Linked DNA regions of Saccharomyces cerevisiae S288C. The gene in region 1 interacts genetically with each later gene. Each region holds a gene or a part of one and is shown on either strand. Other genes may lie near its edges.

Evidence for each region. A genetic interaction does not mean that the proteins touch.
Region 2: mutations in CCA1 (region 1) and YBR085C-A together harm fitness more than expected from each alone (negative genetic interaction), as found in Saccharomyces cerevisiae (one large-scale study listed by BioGRID).
Region 3: mutations in CCA1 (region 1) and TFA1 together harm fitness more than expected from each alone (negative genetic interaction), as found in Saccharomyces cerevisiae (one large-scale study listed by BioGRID).

Annotation. Positions count from the first base shown.
Region 1 is NC_001137.3:515,273-524,202, forward strand, and holds CCA1 (tRNA adenylyltransferase), read right to left. Parts: upstream 7,398-8,930; coding exon 5,757-7,397; downstream 1-5,756. Other genes in the region: aminophospholipid-translocating P4-type ATPase DNF1, read left to right, coding at 1-2,187; BCK2 (Bck2p), read left to right, coding at 2,944-5,499; RPH1 (Rph1p), read left to right, coding at 8,097-8,930. UniProt on the Saccharomyces cerevisiae protein: Nucleotidyltransferase that catalyzes the addition and repair of the essential 3'-terminal CCA sequence in tRNAs, which is necessary for the attachment of amino acids to the 3' terminus of tRNA molecules, using CTP and ATP as substrates. tRNA 3'-terminal CCA addition is required both for tRNA processing and repair.
Region 2 is NC_001134.8:418,407-421,804, reverse strand, and holds YBR085C-A (uncharacterized protein), read left to right. Parts: upstream 1-2,640; coding exon 2,641-2,898; downstream 2,899-3,398. Other genes in the region: IST2 (Ist2p), read left to right, coding at 1-1,604.
Region 3 is NC_001143.9:383,252-387,706, reverse strand, and holds TFA1 (transcription factor TFIIE subunit TFA1), read right to left. Parts: upstream 1,950-4,455; coding exon 501-1,949; downstream 1-500. Other genes in the region: TCD2 (tRNA threonylcarbamoyladenosine dehydratase), read right to left, coding at 1-145; MAE1 (malate dehydrogenase (oxaloacetate-decarboxylating)), read left to right, coding at 2,982-4,455. UniProt on the Saccharomyces cerevisiae protein: Recruits TFIIH to the initiation complex and stimulates the RNA polymerase II C-terminal domain kinase and DNA-dependent ATPase activities of TFIIH. Both TFIIH and TFIIE are required for promoter clearance by RNA polymerase.

The DNA.
Region 1 (8,930 bases):
TCATCGAGAAAAAGAATGTCCTGTATTGTCAAAATTCCGGGTCTGAACCCAGGGGACGAGCCTAGAGCACTTTTAATTTGTAAAGGTGCAGATTCCATTATATACTCAAGATTAAGTCGCCAGAGTGGTAGCAATAGTGAAGCTATTTTGGAAAAAACTGCTTTGCATTTAGAGCAGTACGCTACTGAAGGTTTAAGAACGTTATGCATAGCTCAAAGGGAGTTAAGTTGGTCTGAATACGAAAAATGGAACGAAAAGTACGATATTGCTGCTGCATCATTAGCAAACAGAGAGGATGAATTAGAAGTTGTTGCAGATTCCATTGAACGCGAATTGATATTATTGGGCGGTACAGCTATCGAAGATCGTTTACAAGATGGTGTTCCGGATTGTATAGAGTTGCTTGCAGAGGCAGGAATTAAATTATGGGTTCTTACGGGTGATAAAGTTGAAACAGCTATAAACATTGGATTTTCTTGCAACCTTTTGAATAATGAAATGGAATTGTTAGTTATTAAAACAACTGGTGATGACGTGAAAGAATTCGGATCAGAACCAAGTGAAATTGTGGATGCTTTACTCTCCAAATACTTGAAGGAGTATTTCAACTTAACCGGTTCAGAAGAAGAGATTTTTGAAGCTAAAAAGGATCACGAATTTCCGAAGGGTAATTACGCCATCGTTATCGATGGTGATGCTTTGAAATTGGCGCTATATGGTGAAGATATAAGAAGAAAGTTTCTTTTACTCTGCAAGAATTGTAGAGCTGTCTTATGCTGTAGAGTATCTCCATCTCAAAAAGCAGCCGTTGTTAAGTTAGTCAAGGATTCTCTAGATGTCATGACACTAGCCATCGGCGATGGTTCCAACGACGTCGCCATGATTCAATCTGCGGATGTTGGTATTGGTATTGCCGGTGAAGAAGGTCGACAAGCTGTTATGTGCTCAGACTACGCCATTGGACAATTCAGATATTTGGCTAGATTGGTCCTCGTTCACGGTAGGTGGTCTTATAAGAGACTGGCAGAAATGATTCCTGAGTTTTTTTACAAAAACATGATTTTTGCTTTGGCATTGTTCTGGTATGGTATCTATAATGATTTTGATGGGTCTTACCTGTATGAATACACATACATGATGTTCTATAATTTGGCATTTACATCCCTACCAGTCATCTTCTTAGGTATTCTGGACCAGGACGTGAATGACACAATATCATTAGTGGTCCCTCAGTTATACCGTGTTGGAATTTTAAGGAAAGAATGGAACCAAAGAAAGTTCTTATGGTATATGTTGGACGGATTATATCAGTCTATTATCTGTTTTTTTTTCCCTTACTTGGTTTATCACAAAAATATGATAGTTACGAGCAATGGGTTAGGATTGGATCATCGTTATTTTGTCGGTGTTTATGTGACCACTATTGCTGTAATTTCGTGTAACACATATGTTTTATTACACCAATATAGATGGGATTGGTTTAGTGGATTATTCATTGCACTGTCTTGCCTCGTAGTTTTTGCATGGACGGGAATATGGTCTTCTGCGATAGCTAGTAGAGAATTTTTCAAAGCTGCAGCGCGTATCTATGGAGCACCTTCATTTTGGGCTGTTTTCTTTGTTGCCGTGCTGTTCTGCTTACTGCCCCGTTTCACATATGACAGTTTTCAAAAATTTTTCTACCCAACTGATGTGGAAATAGTAAGAGAGATGTGGCAACATGGCCATTTCGATCATTATCCTCCTGGTTACGATCCAACAGATCCCAACAGACCCAAGGTCACAAAAGCTGGGCAACACGGAGAGAAGATTATAGAAGGCATAGCACTTTCCGACAACTTAGGAGGATCGAACTATTCAAGGGATAGTGTTGTCACAGAGGAGATTCCAATGACTTTCATGCACGGTGAAGATGGAAGTCCTAGCGGATATCAGAAGCAAGAAACCTGGATGACTTCACCCAAGGAAACACAAGATCTTCTTCAATCGCCCCAATTTCAGCAGGCCCAAACGTTCGGAAGAGGCCCATCAACCAACGTCAGGTCATCCTTGGACCGCACAAGAGAACAGATGATCGCCACTAACCAACTAGATAACCGCTACTCTGTGGAAAGAGCGAGAACATCTCTAGATCTACCAGGCGTAACTAACGCAGCCTCCTTAATCGGAACACAACAGAACAATTAATAATGATATCCGAACCATAGCTGATGGAACTCCGCTTTTCACTGTATATATAATATTACATAATATTACTGGATAAGCCTTAGAAGCCTTAGAAGCCTTAGAAGCCTTGGAATTCATGCATACTACAGCGTTAACTCTTTCTTTTAGCAAGTTTTAGTAGCGGACGTGTGGGTTTCTTTGTTCTATAATTAACACTCCCGGTTAACCCGGATCGCTATTATTCAAGGACGCACAATGGTGGGCTAATTTTTTCTTCCGATGGAAAACTGACGCCAGCACTTTCCAGCGCTGGGAACTCTCCACTAACTGGCAAAAAAATTGATTAAGGTCATGATCAAAGGAATTTTTGAAATGTTGTAAAGTAGAGTTAAGAATTAATCAAGCCGTGATACGTATGTTTTTGACTAGGTGAGAGACTATATTTATCAAAAATAGTTTTTTATACTAACAGAAAGTTTATTATATCATAGAAATCCTAGGCCTATTGTTATTATTTGCGTGAAAAAAGGTTCATGCCTAGTTATTCAGGATATTAATCAGGCATAGTCATAGTTTTGTAATACACGTCTTTCACTCCTATTTCCGGTTAACATTCGCTAATATCCATCAAATTATTGACTTTTTTTTCAGTGGATTTGTTGTTAATAAAGGAAACAATCAGATCAGCCATTTAGGGAAGTCTTTTAAGAAAGCTCAGAAGGAGATCTAAGACAAGAAGCAAGGCAGTCTTGATTTATCGCTCAAAACCAATAGCACATGCCGAAGAATAGTCACCACCATCGTTCCAGTTCGGTTAATTCCACAAAGAGTCGTTCTACGGAATCTACGAATAAATGGAAAATTCCGCACTATTATCGCAGATCCGCTAGCGGCAGCACACAAGCTTCGCCGGACAGGAACTCCTCAACAGGCTCATGTAGCACTCCAGTATTACCTACTATGAATGTTATGTCTAGCCCGAAAAAAGTTTTGCTAGAGGATCCCAGAGACAACCATACTAAGGCGAAGAAGAGTAGTAGAAAGAAATCAGGTGAAATGGTCTTCGTCAATTATACTGTACAGGACACGGCTAACGAAAATGATACTGACTTGCAAACCCAGCCGGTTTCTGTGCCAGCACCAAAGGCGAAATTAAAGAAGAAATCCTCCAAAAGGAGAATGCTGAAGATATTTGGATCGTCAAAGAACGAACACATAGAGGACATCGTTGAAGAGCAACCAATGGTGCTTCAAATGGATTCAGAATCTAAACCCCTTTCGGGAACCCCTATCTCAGAAAGCGGAATCGACGCCTCGTCACTAACAACCAAAAGATCTTATAACTCGTTCTTAAAACACAATAGGCTAAACGGTAAAACTCCGTTCTCTGGAAACTTGTCCTTTCCATCATTAAACATGATGGGTAACACTACTGATCTGCCTATTGACAATAACGATTTTTGTTCCGAGAAAGAAGTCGTTCCGAAATCAACTCATGATCCTTCACTAGCAAAACCGCCATCAAGGTTCACTGAAAGCGAAACAAATTCTACTCCCAACTTATCAAGTATACCTCTCATGAACACAAAAAATACAAGATTGAAGTACAATAAAGTGGCGCCTCAGAGTTCAGACCGACAAAAGTCACAGGAAAGTGGGCTATATCATTCTACCGAATCATTCAACTTCAAAGATCAAAACTACAGTAACAATAAATCCTCTTTAAGTCTGAACTCCGATTTAAGTACACCCCACTTTGCAAAGCATTCACCTGATTCACCAAGAACTTCAAGATCTTTCAACTGCGGAGACTCACAAAGTAAAGTTAAATTACCGGAAGAAAATGACGCTTCTATTGCATTTAGTAAGATGTTTACTAGAAAACGAGCCAACACTGGCGGGTCCACGTGTTCGCTAGCCTCACCCACTATTGCACAAACTATTCAGCAATCAAATATAAAAGTTAATAAATTGCCAACTCAGCGAACCACTTCAGTTGGCTCATTATCATCCATGTCAAATCGTTATTCACCAATAAGAGTTGCATCGCCAGGAAGAGCAAGATCCGCAACTCGTGGGTCTTCCCTTTATAGATTATCCAGAGACCTTAATTCTTTACCAAGCGTCACTGATCTACCAGAAATGGATAGTACAACCCCAGTTAACGAAATATTCTTGGATGGCCAACCACAGCATAAAAGTGGCAGTGTCAAAGGAGGGCATAGGAAGAAACAAGAATCTATCTCTGATGCTCAAAGAATTCAACATTCTAATTCGTACATTACAACACCTTCATCTTCTCTGGTGACTCCTCCTTACTACATGACAGGTTACACATTACCAAGTTCTGCATCTGCTTCTTCAACTCCAAATGTGCTTGAAACACACAATATGAACTTTGTTCCAAGTACCAGTACTGTTACAAGTTATCGCCCATCTAGCAATTTTTCCTCATTTGACAAAGAATACAGTAACGAAAACGACGCTAGTGGGGAATTCTCTGCTTTCAATACTCCAATGGAGAATATACCGGCACTAAAAGGTATACCTAGATCCACGTTAGAAGAAAATGAAGAAGAGGATGTCCTAGTACAAGATATTCCGAATACGGCACACTTCCAAAGAAGGGATATTATGGGGATGGATACTCACAGAAAGGATGACAGTTTAGATTTTAACTCTTTGATGCCACACGGTAGTACAACTAGTAGCAGCATCGTAGATTCTGTTATGACGAACTCAATATCCACTACAACAAGCAACGCGACCGGAAACTACTTTCAAGATCAAGATAAGTATACATTGGTAAATACGGGATTGGGATTGAGTGATGCAAACCTCGATCATTTTATTAGATCTCAATGGAAACACGCTTCTCGATCAGAATCCAATAATAATACCGGAAATCGCGTTTCTTACAGTGGCTCAACACCAAACAATGTTGATACAACAAAGACTAATTTGCAAGTGTATACCGAGTTCGATTTTGAAAACCCAGAGTCGTTTTTCCATGAGCAATCGAAGCTACTAGGTGAGATGGGCCACAGCAATAACAACAGCAACAGCGCCATCAACATGAATGAACCCAAGTCTGCGGATACATACATTGGAAATATATCTCCGGATACTTCAGCAACTGTTTCATTAGGCGACCTGATGGGCTCAAACGTTTCAAACAACAGTGAAAGAAATTTTTACGATGGTCATACTTTCGTTCCACAGTATCAGGCGAACTCATCTGTGGAAAACTCAAATAATCAAAATGCAGCACCAATTGCAAATAACGACATTGATAATAATTTACAGTCTTTTTATTTTGATAATAGCAACTAAAAAAGGAATGAAAAAAAAAAAAAAAAGTTCAAAAATAGTAACAGATATCTTTCGAAAAAGTTAAAAACTGGTAAAAAATTTTGAATAGAGTATATAAAAACTAATAAATATGTTTAGTTATCATACACCATAGAATAACTACTAGAGATATTATTTCATTTTCGTTTTCATTTTTTTTATTTTTTTCTTTTCAATAAGGTAACAGAAAGTTATTTATGCATTCTTGTTCTACATGTCTTATGTATACTAATAAGCTACTACAGGTATTTTGGTAGTATGGCTTTTAAATGAGTTATTAATTCTTGATCAGTCCCTGTAGGATTATCAAACTGCCACCTAATCGCTTCGTTATTAATTTTACCCAGCCATGGACCTGGCTTCATTTGAAGTAGTTTTGCCATTTGTTTTCCGTCCACTATTGGTTTTAGTTCATGACAATTATTCAAATTATTGTCAAATATGTAAGAATAAAATTCATTGTAATTTTGGAAAAGTAATTCAATTTTTTTAGTTTCAAGCTTGGGAATCTTTAAAAATGCATCTGATAGAGATGCAAAATGTGCTGTTTCCCATTCGCCATTAAAGTTCCGTAGAAATATACCGATTTCGGATTTTTTTAGCTGGGAACGATCTGCAAACTTAGCAAGTATTTCCTCATATGAACATATTGAATCTACGGTCTTGGCAATAACTGCTGCATCATTTTTACTCAGCTTCAATCCTTCCTTCACAATGCTTTCTGTCACCGAAACCAGGTTGTTAATTTTCTTCTTTGGGTTCCCGATTATTTGTAAATTAGCCATGGGGGACAGGATCGCACTCAATATAAAATTTTGCTGAAATCCTGGCGAACGACCAATTTTTTCCCTTAAGATAGGAAGCTTCTCTAAAAACATTGGATATAATTCAATAAAACTTTTCAAGTGTGAGTTTAGTATGTTATCATTGTATACATGATTAATTTTGTCCATATCTTGACAATTCTCTTCGTTGAATTTTACGACGGAGCTATCATTATGCCAAAAAAAGATAACATTTTCAAGATGAGCCCTTTGAATCAGCTGCAAAGCCAATAAAGGGGTTGGTCCTACTAATATTTTCTCCATCTCCACACCAACTCGCTCTCTAGAAATTTTTGAATTGAATGCAACATTAATCTGAGGATCGCCCATTTCAGCCATCACTTCCGGATCTATGGTAAAGTTGAATCTAGAAGCAAAACGGATCAACCTCAAAACCCTCAAGGGATCATCCAAAAATGTTTGTTTTGCAGGAAGCGGAGTACGGAGAACGCCATCTTTTAGATCTTGCAGACCTCTCTTGGTGAAATCTTCCACTTCACCTTTATGAATGTTATAGAAAAGAGCGTTCAATGTAGCATCCCTTCTTAAAGCGTCTTCCTCGGGTGTGCCAAAGCACACTTTAGGTATCCTGGAAAGTTCAGTATACTTTTCAGATCTTAAATTGACAAAATCCACTTCAACGCCAAAGAGCTTAGTAGTGGCAGTTTCCAGATGCTTGGATTTCTCGGGATTCTTGTCAATCTTGTGGATATTATGAGGCTTGGCTCCATATTTGGCGTAATGTTGTTGCAAATACTCGTTCAAACCAGTAGCAAATTGCTCACCTGACATCACATTGATGGCAATATCCAAGTCGTGAGAACCTTGTCCCAGAAGCTTGTCACGCACCCATCCGCCCGTGATCCGAAGAGTCAATGGCTCAGGCTTATTGTGGTACTTTTGATTGTACAAGTCTGTATAATCGTTCAGCAAGTTACAGATGTTCTGTTCCACTTTGGTTAAGGTGATTTTGGGTGCATTTAGAACAAAATTAGAATTCGTCATCGTTTTCTGAGCAGCACTATTCATCAGTAGAGATATAGTAGACCGTAGCATACACAAAAAAAGCCCTTATAACCCACGGATACGAATTAATCTCGAGGGAAGCGTTGCGATGTATTATGTAGTTTCCTTTAGTACATTGTTAATATGGTAGATTTTTGCGATTCATTTTTCAACTTTTCAACCCTAACGAATGTTTTTTAGGGCTGAGTAACGACAAGAACACAACCCTAAAAATCAGATGACCTAAGGGTTTGGTGAATCGAGAAAGTATGCCCTATTTCCCCCGCCCATACACCCCATAAGCCTTAACCGCAGCCCTCCTCTCCCCTAAACGTTTCTTTTTCTTTTTCCATTTTTTTTTTTTTTTTAGTTTTACTTTCTTTTTATTCGGAAAAATCTTTTCTATATTTTTCAAGGGTAACCTCATCGCCATGCAATTAATCACATAGACTCCTTAAGTAACAATGGCAAGGCGATAATTTTAAGAGAATTGCAGACGCTGTACATAGATCGTTATCAGCAAAACATATATTCGCATCGAAGGCGTTGCTTGTCCCTGAAGTAGCTACTTGCGGTTTTCATCAAGCGGCCAATTTAATCATTCTATCAGCATTATTTTAAAATAGGGGGACTTAACCTTTCTATTAGTACCACTTATTTTATAGATCTGCTGGAGAAAAATAAACAGATAAAAAAAAGGGAAAAAAAGAATAAGACTGTCTTGGTGAGGATATTCAGTTGCGTGAAATCATGACGAAACTAATCGCTCCTTCAGAAATCGTGGGCGGAGTGCCCGTCTTCAAACCCACATACGAGCAATTCGAAGATTTCTATGCATACTGCAAGGCCATAAACAAATATGGCATGAAAAGTGGTGTTGTGAAAGTAATCCCACCTAAAGAATGGAAAGACAAATTAGATCTGCCTTATTCTGCGGAAACGCTCCAAAAGATCAAGATTAAATCACCTATTCAGCAGCATATTTCTGGTAATAAAGGTCTTTTTATGGTGCAGAACGTGGAGAAAAACAAGACCTATAACATTATACAGTGGAAAGATCTTTCTAAGGACTATGTGCCTCCGGAGGATCCTAAAGCAAGACGTAATTCTAGGAAAGGCTCCGTTTCCAAATCCACGAAGTTGAAACTGAAAAATTTTGAATCGTCTTTTAATATTGATGATTTTGAACAGTTCAGGACGGAGTATACAATAGATTTATCTGACTTCCAAAATACGGAGAGATTAAAGTTCTTGGAAGAGTATTATTGGAAAACGCTAAATTTTACTACGCCTATGTACGGCGCAGATACACCAGGATCAATCTTTCCTGAAGGGCTGAACGTTTGGAATGTTGCCAAACTACCGAACATCTTGGACCATATGGAAACAAAGGTTCCTGGGGTGAATGACTCCTATCTATACGCTGGTCTATGGAAGGCTTCTTTTTCTTGGCACTTGGAAGATCAGGACCTGTATTCCATAAATTATATTCATTTCGGTGCCCCAAAACAGTGGTATTCGATACCGCAAGAGGATAGGTTCAAATTCTACAAATTCATGCAGGAGCAATTTCCCGAAGAAGCC
Region 2 (3,398 bases), on another chromosome or scaffold:
GCTCATCAGATATGAAAATTTGGTCAAAGGTTAAGTCGTACCAAACAGACCCCTGGGGAGCAACATTTGATTTGGACGCCAACTTCAAAAAGCTTCTTCTACAATTCGGGTATCTTGTTATGTTTTCTACAATTTGGCCACTAGCTCCATTTATCTGTTTGATAGTCAATTTGATTGTTTACCAAGTCGATTTGAGGAAAGCTGTGCTTTATAGTAAACCTGAGTATTTTCCATTTCCAATCTACGATAAGCCATCCTCTGTGTCTAATACCCAAAAACTGACGGTTGGTCTATGGAACTCTGTCTTAGTTATGTTCTCCATCTTAGGTTGTGTTATCACTGCTACTTTGACCTATATGTACCAGAGCTGTAATATACCAGGTGTCGGCGCTCATACTTCCATCCATACGAATAAAGCTTGGTACCTAGCAAATCCAATAAACCACTCGTGGATAAATATTGTACTATATGCTGTTTTTATTGAGCATGTTAGTGTTGCTATTTTCTTCCTTTTCTCTAGTATTTTGAAATCTTCCCATGATGACGTTGCAAATGGCATTGTGCCAAAGCATGTAGTTAACGTGCAAAACCCACCAAAACAAGAAGTCTTTGAAAAAATTCCCTCCCCTGAATTTAATTCGAATAACGAAAAAGAACTAGTTCAAAGAAAAGGGTCTGCGAATGAGAAGTTGCACCAAGAACTCGGTGAGAAACAGCCTGCCTCTTCTGCCAATGGATATGAGGCACATGCTGCCACTCATGCCAACAATGATCCGTCTTCTTTATCCTCAGCCTCCTCGCCTTCATTATCTTCTTCTTCTTCTAGCAGCAAAACCGGTGTAGTCAAAGCTGTTGATAACGATACAGCCGGATCTGCTGGTAAAAAGCCATTGGCCACAGAAAGTACTGAAAAAAGAAATTCTTTGGTGAAGGTGCCTACCGTTGGCTCATATGGTGTTGCGGGCGCCACTTTACCAGAAACAATTCCAACATCTAAAAATTACTACTTAAGGTTTGATGAGGACGGTAAATCCATTAGGGATGCGAAATCCAGTGCAGAATCTTCCAACGCCACCAATAACAACACCTTAGGCACGGAAAGTAAGCTTTTGCCAGATGGTGACGCCGTTGATGCACTAAGTAGAAAAATTGATCAAATACCCAAAATTGCTGTTACTGGTGGCGAAAATAACGAAAATACCCAGGCCAAAGACGATGCTGCCACTAAGACTCCACTCATTAAAGATGCAAATATTAAGCCTGTTGTCAACGCAGCTGTTAACGATAACCAATCGAAGGTTTCAGTGGCTACTGAACAAACAAAAAAGACTGAAGTAAGCACGAAAAATGGCCCATCAAGATCTATTTCCACGAAGGAAACTAAGGATTCTGCGAGACCATCTAATAACAATACTACTACTACTACTACTACAGATGCTACTCAGCCCCACCATCATCATCACCACCACCGCCATCGTGATGCTGGAGTGAAGAATGTCACGAACAATTCTAAGACAACCGAATCCTCTTCCTCTTCATCGGCGGCAAAGGAAAAACCAAAACATAAAAAGGGGCTATTGCATAAGCTGAAAAAGAAGCTTTAAAAAAAAGCTAGGACGATAACAAATTTTATTTTTATAATATGGTGACATTAAATTAATATGTATTCTTCTTTCTATCAAGTGTATGTTTTATGTATCTCTAATTTTAAAAGAATAATTCATTTTACCTTGTGCAGTGTTTTCATCAAACAGAAATCTCAAGATTTAGTTTCTACGCATGCATTGCCTCTTTCTTCTTCGTTCGAGAGGAGTCACAGCTAGGATTCATTACGTATGTTAGTCACACGATTATATCCAGGGGGGTAGAACATACCGACCATAACTTTTTTGCCGTTTTTCTATTAACCGCGGCTTCTATCAGGAAACCCTTTTTCAGCAAATTAAAAGAGAGCGAGGCTAAAACTCTCTGGTGGCAGTGAAAGATTCTAGGCCGGGTCCAGTTTCTAGGGGTAAAATAGAGCGCAAAAGATCTCGGTGCAGATCTAAGGCGGAAGAAAAGGAAATGTGATCCGATTTTTTATGGAAGCAAATAGAAAAACAGGATCAAACGCTTTTGTGGGCGGGAGATGTTATTATGTAACGGGGCTTTTATTAGCATGTGAAATGCTTTGTAGAAGGGCATCCCTGGAGCCCTTTTGGGCCTTACAGTACATGTTCAAGATTGGCCGACTATTAGCAGAACTACAACTAGGGTTGCAGTGGGAAGTATGAACGATAGGGGTAAGTCTAAATGTGATATAGTTACAGCTAATAATATCTTCTTGCTTAGTTTTGTTGAATATATGTTGCTTCTGAAGTACGTGCAGTTACGTCAGTGCGCGCATACATGTTATCCATATTCCTTTTTCCTCTTTTTGACCCGCACTTCATTTCGCGGTTTTTTTTCTTGTTTTGGTTTGCCCCCATTAATTATCTGATCTGGGCTTTTTCTGGCAATAAGTAGTTATCACCGGATCATCTCATTATTATAAAAGGGACAAAGGACTTGCGGCTCCAGTTTGTATAAGGGAAAGCGGCGCACTCTTCATTCGATAGGGGCTCAAGTTACCAACTACAATAAATTACATTATACTATAACATGTCATCTGCTCTATACAAACAAAGCACAAATTTTACTCATTCTACCGGTTCTTTCTTGCAAAGCGCACCTGTTGAACTGACGACAGTCAGTGGGTACCAGGAGTTTTTGAAGAAGCAAGAGAAAAAGAACTATGAAATTCAAACAGTTTTAAGCGAGGATAAATCACATGGTTATGTGCTAAAGGACGGCGAAGTCATCGCTAATATCATTGGTGAGGCCAAAGATTATCTTTTGGATTTGGCCGGCCAGGCTTGAACGAGTGGCTAAATATTTGTTCGATACGAGTCACTTCATGCACACTTTGATTTGCACTCTTATTGCTGGGCTGTAGTTTTCTTTTCCGTTTTCGCTTATAAATCTAACATGTTCTATTAGGGGAAAGAAAGGCGCAAATTGTAGAGTTTGTTAGGTCTTTTAAGTACTTGATTTCACCAACCGAAAGTGAAAGAAATAAAAAAAGATAAAGCTATTATTATTACCATGACCCTGTCATTGGTTTAAAACGTTTGTCCGTCTGCTTTTGATGTTTTTAAAAAAAATTTAAATAAATATTCTAAATAAGTGAATTACAGGCTGGTAGATAGTTCGTATACGTATAAGTTTTTCATTTAATTAATTTCGTCTCTATACCTGGACGCATTGTAGTTGAGTTTTCTAGAGATTTGGAGGTGTCTTAAAGCATCCGAACTGGGAGGTCTCGCAAATCAGAGGTCTTGGTCAAAAGTGCAAAATTCTTTAAAGGACGAATACTGAAA
Region 3 (4,455 bases), on another chromosome or scaffold:
GCCCACCTTTATTCTTATTTTTTTGTTGCGCAATTACTTGCTTTTGTGCTTGCCAACTGGTCCAAGCATAATCTGTAATCGTCGTCACTGCCACAGTGAATAGTGCAGTGGCAGTTATCAGTTTCCATGTATCCTTCTCTACCATATTATTTTTGTACTTTGGTTGAATGATAAAGCAATCCTTCTGTGCCTTCTATAAGTTGAGGTTCTTTATTAAATATATATAAACTAAATATGCTCGAAAAAATATTTTTTACACCTCAATATTCTCACTAGTAATGTTTTTATTATTACTATAAAGATGCCATATGTCTAGTAGCTCCGCTTTCTTTTTCTGAAATTTTTTCATGTGATTTTTTCCAGACGTATTCTTTTTTTTTTCTCTCATTTTTTTTAGATTTTAAGAGAAGCTTGATACAATAGAGAAGAAAATGAAGAAAGGAAAAGTTGGTTCTACATTGTAAGAGCTAGTTGGTAAGATTTAAAAAAAACGGACCATATCAAACGTCCTCAAACTCAATGTCCATCTCATCATCATCATCATCATCATCATCATCACCATCATTTGGTTTAGCGTTTGCACTCGGACCTGAAGCAGTGGCAGTAGCATTTACAGCGTCTTCAGTCTTATCATTAATCGATTCTTGTTTTACGTCGTTGGAGGTGTTTGATTCTGTCTTTGCGGTGCCAGCTGTATCCGTTACGTCTTCAAATTCATCTTCCAATGCATTTTCTCTAGCAGTTTCATCGTTATCATCCATAACATCTTCCATCTCTTCTTCCTCTTCTTCTTCCTCATCCTCTTCTTCTTCTTCCTCCTCCTCTTCTTCTTTATTGAGCTTTGCTTGCTTTTTAGCCAAAGCAGCGTAGTAATCATTCAACGTCTTTTCATTCTCTCTTTCTTCCATTTCTTGCTCGGTCAGAGTTCTGTTATTTTGATAGGATGTTTCCTGTGCAGGTTCATTATCAGGATTTATAGAATCCATGGCAGATGCAGTAACTACAGGATCGAACTCCTCTTCATTATCCAGTCTACCAAGAGCAGTTTTACCGATGGTACTCTGTTTATGCCATTCAGGGACAGCGTTTTGTTTTCTTTTCTCTTCAGCCTGTCTCTCTTGCAATTCCCTTTGAGCCACTTCATCACTTGCCGTGGTAATGTTGATGTGTAATGTGGCTTGAGAGTTAGCACCGGCACGTCTACTACTGTCGTTACCAAGAGCAGTACCCATAAGATTTGGCAATGGAGCAGAATCTCCCGGTCTGAACATGGTGCTGCCTTTCTTTGGATTGTACGTGTATGCTGCATGTGATTGATTTTGAGGTGGTATCAAGCGAGCCAATGCAATTTCGAAAGTATTCTCCTCAATTCTTGAATCATCAATCTTTTTCAAAGAATCAATGATTGGCTGAATTTGGTCCATTAACCTATTTAATTTATCTTGCTTCTCTTTGTTTTTTTTACCAGAATCATCTTCCACCAACGGTTCATCACATAGGGAACATAAAAATTCTGTCCTATCAAAATTCAATAATTGTACAGCTTCCAATTGTGTGTACTTGGTCAAACAAATCGGACACATGTAACCATTAGGTTCTGAATTTTTGTCCAAGTCATCCTTCAATCTTTGTACGACTTGATGGACCTTCCATTTGATTGCGTCAATAGCATGAGGATATTTTACATAGTAGTAAACTCTTTCCACACTTTTTGAGTTTGGAGGGTATTCTCTTTGTTTGTGTATGGATATTAACCTGTCTGATCTTAGTCTAGCAATTAGCGGCCCCAGTTCCGTCTTATTTATGCTCAACAATTGTTTCAAGTCATCTTCAGCTAGGACCGAGTGAAATAGTATAGCATCGAGTACCAGTACAAAGGAGCCACCATAAAACCCCCTAACGACGAACTTTAAAAGATTTTTCACAATATCATCTATAGGTCTATCCATACTCTACTCACTGCAGCAGCTGCTTCCAGTAGTTTTCTATCTTTGGCTCGATTAGGACGAGCAATCATGCTGCCAAGTTTACACTTAATTAGCTTTTTTCCTAATCTTGCAAGAACCGCTTAGATAATCACTACACACGGTAACGCTTAGTAAAAAACCAAAAAAAAAAACCAAGTATTATTACGTATTAACTCACCAGACTACAATAGTAACCTGAAATTCGCCCATGGTACAATTTACACTTCCAAATTTTTTTGTTTTTTTATCATTTGGACATCCTTTGCCCTTCACCCAGTGTCAATCATTACAACAATTATAGCGATTCATCACAGTGCAAGGATCACTCTTAACGAAGGAAGAAAAGTTAGAAAAATTTCTCATATGTTTCGCGTTTATTTTCGATACCAATTCGTTTCGATGTGTGCAAATTGAATATTGCATCGTGCATTGCAAGGTTTTTCAAATTCTTGCGTCTTGTCAACCGTTCAAGGCGATTGAAAGATATTCACTGCATATCTTCTTATACGAAAAGCATCGAAGAAAAAACACCCATACAACCAAGTATAGACGGAACAATTCGGGTTTTTACTCTTCCCTAGGCGGTTTAAATCGGATATATGAAAAGAAATCAAAAAAAAAAAAAAAAAAAAAAAAGAATTGGCGCATTTGAAGTTTTATTATCGTACGCGTTATTGTTTGCGCTAACATCGCATCGCATCAGCTGACTGAGTGACTGAGTCCCCTTGGCTTCGACTCATCATCGCCTTTCTATGGTGAAAAATTTTCGCAATTTCCTATTACTGTACCGCGTATGCTCCATTTGACTTCCTTTGGTCTACAGCTTTAGCGCTATAGAGTTTCGAAGTCGTACCCGTTACCGGCATGATTGACATATTATATATATATATATATGCGTATCTTTATACTTACTCGTATATTGTGTCCAGCTTCGGATATTTGTGCTTTTGAAACCTACAACTTTTAACGAGTTTAGTGCACATAAATACCAAGACAAAAGGTAGAAATACGGTTATGCTTAGAACCAGACTATCCGTTTCCGTTGCTGCTAGATCGCAACTAACCAGATCCTTGACAGCATCAAGGACAGCACCATTAAGAAGATGGCCTATTCAGCAATCGCGTTTATATTCTTCTAACACTAGATCGCATAAAGCTACCACAACAAGAGAAAATACTTTCCAAAAGCCATACAGCGACGAGGAGGTCACTAAAACACCCGTCGGTTCTCGCGCCAGAAAGATCTTCGAAGCTCCTCACCCACATGCCACTCGTTTGACTGTAGAAGGTGCCATAGAATGTCCCTTGGAGAGCTTTCAACTTTTAAACTCTCCTTTATTTAACAAGGGTTCTGCATTTACACAAGAAGAAAGGGAAGCGTTTAATTTAGAAGCATTGCTACCACCACAAGTGAACACTTTGGACGAACAACTGGAAAGAAGCTACAAGCAGTTATGCTATTTGAAGACGCCCTTGGCCAAAAACGACTTCATGACGTCTTTGAGAGTACAGAACAAAGTCCTATATTTTGCATTAATAAGGAGACATATCAAGGAATTAGTTCCTATCATTTACACCCCAACCGAAGGTGATGCTATTGCTGCCTATTCCCACAGGTTCAGAAAGCCAGAAGGTGTGTTTTTAGACATTACCGAACCTGATTCCATCGAATGTAGATTGGCTACATACGGTGGAGACAAAGATGTAGACTACATCGTTGTGTCGGATTCGGAAGGTATTCTGGGAATTGGTGACCAAGGTATCGGTGGTGTACGTATTGCTATCTCCAAATTGGCATTGATGACGCTGTGCGGTGGTATTCATCCCGGCCGTGTGCTACCTGTGTGTTTGGACGTCGGTACTAACAACAAGAAACTAGCCCGTGACGAATTGTACATGGGTAACAAGTTCTCCAGAATCAGGGGTAAGCAATATGACGACTTCTTGGAAAAATTCATCAAGGCCGTTAAGAAAGTGTATCCAAGCGCCGTTCTGCATTTCGAAGATTTCGGTGTTAAGAACGCTAGAAGATTACTAGAAAAGTACAGGTACGAATTGCCATCATTCAACGATGACATTCAGGGCACCGGTGCCGTCGTGATGGCCTCGTTGATTGCTGCTTTGAAACATACCAACAGAGACTTGAAAGACACCAGAGTGCTTATTTACGGTGCCGGGTCTGCGGGCCTCGGTATCGCAGATCAAATTGTGAATCATATGGTCACGCACGGCGTTGACAAGGAAGAAGCGCGCAAGAAAATCTTCTTGATGGACAGACGTGGGTTAATTCTACAATCTTACGAGGCTAACTCCACTCCCGCCCAACACGTATACGCTAAGAGTGATGCGGAATGGGCTGGTATCAACACCCGCTCTTTACATGATGTGGTGGAGAACGTCAAACCAACGTGTTTGGTTGGCTGCTCCACACAAGCAGGCGCATTCACTCAAGATGTCGTAGAAGAAATGCACAAGCACAATCCTAGAC